2 linked regions of the Danio rerio genome follow. The protein of the gene in region 2 purifies or fractionates together with the protein of the main gene of each other region. This does not show direct contact. Links are inferred from orthologs where the notes say so. Each region holds a gene or a part of one and is shown on either strand. Other genes may lie near its edges.

The links.
Region 1: the proteins of ccnk (region 2) and cdk12 purify together in Homo sapiens (affinity purification with mass spectrometry; 6 studies listed by BioGRID and IntAct, with this or other methods). This does not show direct contact. The link is inferred for Danio rerio from reciprocal best matches to the Homo sapiens genes CCNK and CDK12.

Annotation. Positions count from the first base shown.
Region 1 is NC_133194.1:5,796,238-5,800,062, reverse strand, and holds part of cdk12 (uncharacterized protein cdk12), read right to left. Parts: intron 3,340-3,825; coding exon 2,656-3,339; intron 1-2,655. UniProt on the Homo sapiens protein: Cyclin-dependent kinase that phosphorylates the C-terminal domain (CTD) of the large subunit of RNA polymerase II (POLR2A), thereby acting as a key regulator of transcription elongation.
Region 2 is NC_133195.1:5,223,523-5,227,951, reverse strand, and holds the start of ccnk (cyclin-K), read right to left. Parts: upstream 2,836-4,429; 5' UTR 2,731-2,835; intron 2,034-2,730; exon of another isoform or gene 1,905-2,033; intron 1,788-1,904; 5' UTR 1,733-1,787; coding exon 1,533-1,732; intron 1,404-1,532; coding exon 1,322-1,403; intron 1-1,321. UniProt on the Homo sapiens protein: Regulatory subunit of cyclin-dependent kinases that mediates activation of target kinases.

The sequences.
Region 1 (3,825 bases), on a different chromosome or scaffold from region 2:
CGCAATTCGAGTCATTCGCGCCGCACCATTCGCGCCTTTGCATTTACTAAACTTTGCATTTACTAAACACTTGTGCTTGAAGCTTCTTCCGCATCTGGTGTAAGCACAGCATTTTAGCAACACTTGTGACTGCTTTAGGAAATAATGCTCATCATAGATGTCATGGGATAACCGTTCGTGAAGGAACGTGTAGTCTGGCACATTTGTTACCCATGACAAGTAGAGCTGCACGATTCTGGCTAAAATGAGAATCGCGTTTTTTTTTGCTTGAAATAAAGATCACGATTTTCTCATGATTCTGTAGATGTAAAATACAGGTATGGTAAAAACAAACATATGGCACAACCTCGACATTAATATTATGTGTAGGTCTTCTGGTTTCTATAAATAATTCTATTCTACTTATAATAATTCTGATGTTGAATTATTATGTTTGAGATGTATGCTTGCAATCTGTTATATTAGACAAATTTATTCACTGGTAAGATCAGACATTTGCCATTATCAGATTATATTCAACAATATACAGGCTGGAGTACTTATACTAACATTGTAAACATTTATTTTCATGCACAACTGTGGGTTCACTATGAAAGAAAAAACATATCAAATGCTTGTCGTAATCATAACTCTAAAATGGGATACGATCATTTAAACACTTTCGGTTTCATTCTGACTGCTAAGTGCTTGTTTATACTTCTTGTGCGGCTCCCAAACAATCACTCTGTGACACAAACTGAATATTATTTACAACTGAATTACCTGTTACTCGCAACATATGCAGGTTATGTTCACTAAAGTAGAAGCGCACGCGTTTATCATTAAGTAGAGCGCACGCACCCTCTCTGTGATAACAGCTCACGGTCAGCAGCTTATGTCATGTGTGATTTCCCGATCGCGAAAACATCCTTATATTAAGACAAAAATGACATTTTTTGATGAATTATACCTTATAAATACATTAAGTGACTCATTCAACATCATTTGGAGGTGTCAATGTCACTGAGCAACGTATGTGAAACAATGAAAAGACTCGTGCAGCCGCCTTTTCTTCTCTCCTGAACTCGAAAATATGATTGGCAGAATCGTAGAAATGCTGGATTAAGATCGTCTAGGGCAGGGGTCTTAAACTCGCGGCCCGCGGGCCATTTGCGGCCCTCAGTGCAATATTTTGTGGCCCGCGCCGACCGCTGTACTCTGACAGAATCAGCGGAGCGGGGAGAGAGAGTGCTCCCCGCTCCGCTGATTCTATCCGTACACAGCGCGCTTGTCACTCAATGCGCGTTGTCGCGCGCGTTCTGATCAGCTGTGTTGTCGCGCGCATACTCAAGAACGGTGTTATCGCGCGCCTACTGAAGGGCGGGACCGAGGGTGTGTCGCGTCGCGGGGGCACTTTTGATCATTTTGGAAGGGCACTTTCTATGCAAGACTAAAAAGGGGATGTGCTCTGCACAGGTTGAGCCCTATGTGTGCACGTGCCTGCCCTGCATCTTATATATATTGATATTATAGGTAGATACAGACTGGTACAGACTGATGTGACTGGAGTGGGGTGGGGGTGTTTTATTTATACATATATACGCCTTTTTTTTAGGTGAGGGAATGGAAGTTTTGAGTTAGTTCCCCCACTTTTTTCCCTAGGACTTCAATAAGTCAAAGTACAGGTCTAGACTAAATGATCATCTTCAAGCCATACTGAGGGTCTCAACTGCTTCCGCTCTAAAGACAAATGTGGTTCAGATTTGTGAGAAGAAGCGCTGTCAAGTCTCTGGCAGCAAGAAGTAGGCAAAAGATGCCATGTTCAGAAGAACTGTTCATAATCTTCACTCAATGTTTTATTAATGTTCAGGACACTTCATGTTCAGAAGAAATAATTAAAACTGTTAATAATGACATTTGAGGACTTTTTTTGAGAAATCCCTTATGCGGCCCAGCCTCACCCAGACTTTGCCTCCTGCGGCCCCCAGGTAAATTGAGTTTGAGACCCCTGGTCTAGGGCAAGGGTGTCAAACTCAATTCCTGGAGGGCCGAAGCCCTGCACAGTTTAGTTCCAACCCTGCTCCAACACACTTACCTGTAGGTTTCAAACAAGCCTGAAGGACTCAATTAGTTTGATCAGGTGTGTTTAATTAGGGTTGGAACTAAACTGTGCAGAGCTGCGGCCCTTTTGGAACCGAGTTTGACACCTGTGGTCTAGGGGGTCGAATCGAGATCGCCATCTTTTAACGATTAATTGTGCGGCTCTAATGACAAGTCAAGATTTTATCAAGAAAAAAATAATAATTTGCATAATCTGACATAGAGACTTTCGTAAAAGACAATAAAAATCATGTGATCTGACCGGGGCTTAAGTGTGAATTACTACACCAACAAACTGGAGGCTACTCATATTGCCCTGTACCTAATAAATACAGCCTGTTAAAACAGTCCATGTGCAGAAATGAAAACAAGATCAAATATGACACAAATCACCAAAAAAAAAAAGCATCTAAATAATCATTTAGGATAATAACTGCCTTAATAAGACAAAATGAGGTGATGTCAGTGCTTATTTCAGAATAAAGCAAGTTAATCCGTGTGGTACTATTTCTCATTTGTGGAAAACTTGCATACAGACAGTAGTTTCCCTATGAAGTGTGTGTTTTCAGCACTCACCTGTCCCTGCAGTCTCCCAGAAGAGCCGGCGGCAGGGGAAGAGGAGGAAGCGTGGAGGTCTTCATCTGGTGCGCAGGACTTTTCGCGGGCTTCTGTGCGGGGCTTTTCGGCCGTGAAGAAAGAGCCGGTGCAGGCGCTAAAGGTGGAGGAGCCGGCGGAGGACTGTTCAGAGGAAGAGGAGGAGGAGAAGACAGAGGAGGAGGAGGAGGAGAGCTGGCTGGAAGAGGCGGAGGAGACGTTAGAGGCAGCGGAGGAGGACTGGATAATGGGAGAGGTGGAGGAGGAAGCGCAGCAGGCTCCTCCACAGCCACAGTGATTGCAGGTGGAGAGGGCGGTCTTTGAGGCTCAGGGGGCGCCGCTGCTGCTGCTGCTGTCTCCAGTGGCGGTGGATCAGTGTTTTTCACTGGTGTGTTTGTCACATTGGACGTGTTTGGTTGGAGAGCAGGAGAGTTCTTGGCAGCAGCTGCCTGACGTTCCTGCTTTCTTCTTGTGAGTTCGGCTCCGAGGCTGGAGGTGATGGGCAAACGTGAAGATGAAGGCGACCGGCTGCCAGGTCGACTACTGTGAGAGGAGGCTCCGCTGGCCCCGCCGGAATATAACGAATGTTTCTTTGAGCGAGAATGGGACGTGGAACGGCGGGACGAGGAGTAGTGAGGAGAACGGCTCCGGGCACGCAGAGATGTCCTGCGGAGGAGAAGAGAAATGCTTTCAAATCAGCTATCAAATAATAAACAATACACAAATAATATTAGATAATACTTAATACACTTCATTGAACATGTACACAATGACATGACCTATTTACTATATAACTGCAGGATAACGGTGCTTGTGTATAACAACTTTAAAAAGTACACATTAAATCAAAACTAACCATATTGATTTTGTTAGCTCACATTGCTAGTTTTGTGAAGAACAATTCATCTGTGCAGGTCATTAAGAAAATAAAAATACAATAAAAATGAAATGTTTGCTTTAGTAATATTTTATTTAAATCTAAAAATGCACTTCCTGTTTGCTTTCAGTTAAATTCTCAGGCTGTGTCCGGAACCGCCTACTACTCAGTAGGTACTGCATTTGAATTTAAACGTACTACTCGCCGTTAGAAAAGTACGTTCTATACAGTATGAATGTGAAAAGTATGAATGGAATTCGGACGTACTACATCCG
Region 2 (4,429 bases):
ACGCTTGCACTTTTCCAGCTGCACCTAGTTAATATCACAGGGAGCTTCTGTGATTGCGAGAAATGCAAACGGCTGAAGTTTAAGGTGGCGAGGCAGTGGCGCAGTAGGTAGTGCTGTCGCCTCACAGCAAGAAGGTCGCTGGGTAGCTGGTTCGAATCTCAGCTCAGTTGGCGTTTCTGTGTGGAGTTTGCATGTTCTCCCTGCCTTCGTGTGGGTTTACTCCGGGTGCTCTGGTTTCCCCCACAGTCCAAAGACATGCAGTACAGGTGAATTGGGTAGGCTAAACTGCCCGTAGTGTATGAGTGTGTGTGAATGTGTGTGTGGATGTTTCCCAGAGATGGGTTGCGGCTGGAAGGGCATCCGCTGCATAAAAACTTGCTGGATAAGTTGGTGGTTCCGCTGTGGCGACCCCAGATTAATGCTCTTCAGAACAGACGCGGATTCGCGTGATGGGCAGGGCTTCTGTCTGCCCGGTGACTCTAGCTTCATAGCTAAATGGCTAACATGGATTTTATTAAGAAAATAACAGTGTTAATGTGCTTTATGGAGACTGAAAAACAGCGTCAATACGTTTAGGGTCGTGTCTGAGTCCACTGCATCCTTTCAGAGGTGCATCCTGCTCTGTGAGCTCATAAACTCCTCCAGAAACTGAACCTGGATCACGGAGGCTTTCAGCGGTGCTTCTGACTGAGCCAAGCCCAGTTTGATGTCTTGTTGTCGCTGTCGCTGTCGCCTGGAGGATGTCCCCTGGGACACCATCAACAGGTTCTACGTCACAATCACGCCCCCACAAGAGCAAGCTCCTGATTGGTTAACGCTGCGCGAATGTCCGCTGAAGTTCAGATTTTCGAACTCGAAAGATTCTCGCGAAACGCTCGTTAAGCGCGTCAAATGTGCAAAACGCTCAAATCGCCTCGGGCGTATCGCGCCATTCGCACCGCGCCATTCGCGCTATTTGTGTCATTCGCTCCGCGCCATTCGCGTGTATCACGCCGCAGGATGTCTATTTGCGCGTTTGCATTGACTTAACATGTAAATCAGTCACGCTTGACGCGCGTACCTCGTCTGTTGTGAACGCAGCATCATAAAGGGACTAAGCCGACAAGAAAATGAATGAATGAATGAAGTTTAAGGTAGACTTCTATTGTAGGTACCAAAAGAAATACTACGGCAGTCAATGTTACCAGTTTTCAATGTTATTCTAAATATCTCCTTTTGTGTTTTACAGAGGAAAAAAACTCTGAAACAAGAGGAGGGTGAGCAATTCCTTAAAAATGTAAACAGTAAAAAAAAATATCTTTCAACAACAGCTTGTACTTACATATCGGGGGAACTGTTTGAAAGAATGAAACATATAAAACCGATGAAAGTATGTTATTCCTGTCGCCAGGGTGTCATAATGTCTTAAAAAATGGTTAAGGTCCAAATGGAAATCATCACACCATTTAAACTTCAGCCTTATTCAGTCTAAATCAATAAATAAACACACAACATCTTTAGATCAGTCTACAAATAGCAGCATTGAAGGATACAATCCCAAACGTGTTCCGACATCGAAGATGAACCTGGCTCCCTCTCGTCTGTACCGCGCTTCTGTGGCTGGGTCCAGGTCTGACTGGGACGGGGTGTGGGCCAGATCCTTCTTGTCCCAGTACCAGCATGGCTTGGTGTGGTCCAGATTTGTGGTGAAGCTTCCGAAGGTGGCGTTGGAGTTCTCCTTGCCGTCCTTCATTTGGAAGGAAGTGACGGCTGATGCCAAACCGCAAATCAGTCTGAACTGCAAAAGGCTAAAAACAACAGCTAGTTGGTTACTTCTTAAAAGTGCACTGGGTGAATTTTGCCAAACGATGTTGAAATTTGGGACTCTACTCTCACTTTTATGAGTTTCTTTCGTAATTCTGTTAAACAAAAAAGATGGTTCAGAAGAAAGCTGAAAACTGGTAACCATTGACCTTCATAACAGGGAAAACAAATACTATGGAGGTCAATGGTTACCGGCTTACAACATTTTTCAAAATATCTCTTTTTCTGTCGAACGGAATTAAGAAATCCAAACAGGTTTGTAACACGTGAAGGGCGAGTAAATGAAGACAGAATTTTCATTTTTTGATGAACTATATATGATTACTCAAAGATATGCATGCATGTATACACAATACACACATATATATTATGTCAAAAACTTTTCTTCTGGATTAATTACAGCTATAAAAACGAAAATAATGCTACAAATAGGGTTTATTTATTCTAAGCGTCTTGTTTAATTTGGGGTGAATTTTGACAGATTTGAAATAGCTCAGTTATATTATTATCGCATTCAGTTATAGTTCAATGGGTATTGTTTGGGAATTCACAATAAATAAGATAAAATGTCGTAATTTGTGCATCAGCATGATTAAGGCACACGTTTCTTAAATTTGCAAAAAAATAAGTTATATAATCTATTGAAAGTTCAAACATGTCAATCATTTGCTTCGTGAGAGAACACAGACAATTAAATACCAAATATATCATACATCCCAGACCACTCATAACATCACGTGACTAATATAACCGTGTTCTCCAGTAAATATGCTGTTAATTTAAATGGAGCTGTTTGATCCTTCATTCATCAATTTACGATGACATTAATAAACTGAGAGGGAAGCGATTTCAAAGCGATCGGTTTCAAACCGAGTAATTACTCATCCTTCGAATTATAAACAATAAGTAACTATAAAATAGTCTTACCTTTGCGATATATGGCACGTTTATGTCCTTAGTAAACTGGGGAGACGAATAAAACGTTAATCGTTGTCGGTCTCACATTCACGACATGGAGGCAGCCATTTACAGCACGTCTTCCTCTGTACTTCAAAGCAGCGCTCGTGCGTCGTTCAAACCACCTGAAGCGACATCTGCAGGCCTGGAGAACATACATTTCAAAGTCCTTTCTGAAAATAAAAAAGTACGGGTGTTTCTTTGAAAATTTACATTTATGGATGTGAAATTTTGTTTTTAAAAAAAGCAAAAAATCAATAATTGATTTAAAATGAGAAAGATCTACACTCAGAGAGTGACCAAATAATACATTTTTTGGGGAAATACAGAAGTTTGGAAATAAGAATTTTTTAATGAAATCGGAAAAGTCAACCCAAGGGCCATGATGGACAGAGGCCAGTGGATAAATTTGGCCAGGATGCCGGGGTTAAACCCGTACTCTTTTTCGAAAGACATTCTGGAAGCATGCTAATGGGACTTTTAATTTGCCAGTAACCTGGGTTAAGCGCTTCCGGCGAACTGTATGCCAAAGGAAAAAGCTGCACGTTTTTAAGGTCAGTTTTCTTTAAAAATCAGCGATCTCCACTGGCTGAGTGATTTCCGATATGAAGTGGGTCTCGGATTGTACTAGAAGCACTGCATTAAATGACATTTTCCCCGCCATGTCTTTATAATATGAGCATATATTTAACCCAGTATATTCAATGGAGCGTCTGCGCTATCCTGCCGATTCTGACGGGCGAGTGCGAGTAAAAGGCCTTTTGTCTCGTTTTACGCTTGAACAACTAAATGAATGCCAAAGTTTATTTAACTGAATGTATTTTAATTACATTACAACATGAATGCTGTAAAAGGAACCGTATAAAATGGAAAAAACTCACACTAACCGGTCACCGGAAGTTTATAAGTATATGGGAACAACACTTGCTCGGCATATAGCCAATTATATTCATCTGTCTCCATATTCTACTGCATCCCAGAATATTACACAGCACCAGAAATGTAAAAAAATATATATTGAATATATTTAATATATTTTTGTGTACTGCAGACGGCAATTCGCCGTGACGCAGATTCACGAGTCTGTGTGCTCCAATCAGATGAGCCCTCTTCAGCGTTCGCCATGACAACGCAACAGCAGTTTTTACGTGCCTTGTAAAAATTTGCATATGCATTCCTATAAAGCTCGTGTGCTCTCTGTCAGCCTTGTCAGTTCGCTCAGTGTTGCTGTTTGAACTTGACCAAGGTGAGTTCAATACCGACTTTGCGAGTGGAGCCACGCCAATCTCACGAAGTCCGCTTCCTGAAGCTTCACTCGGTACATAAACGCAACATCGCAAGGAATATTACGTGTTTGTTGCTCGAAATGTGCCGCCGAGCAACATCCAGTGAATACTGGCACGGCCTGGCGCCCGGTTTTCTCGTGCACTCCCTGGGGCGAGGCGACCTTTGAGCCCTAGGCAGGGAACAAACAACCCCCGAGGACCCTCAGGGAAACACGGGGGGCCGGTAGTGGGACCTCGCTGCGAGGGTTATGGTGGGTGGGAGTAGCGAGGCCCACTCATCGTCTATTTTAAACTATAGTTTCAAACTTTAGTTTACTGTAGTTTGAAATAGACACCATGGTAACTGTTATGATTTAACTTTATGCTAAGAGCTTAGAATGACC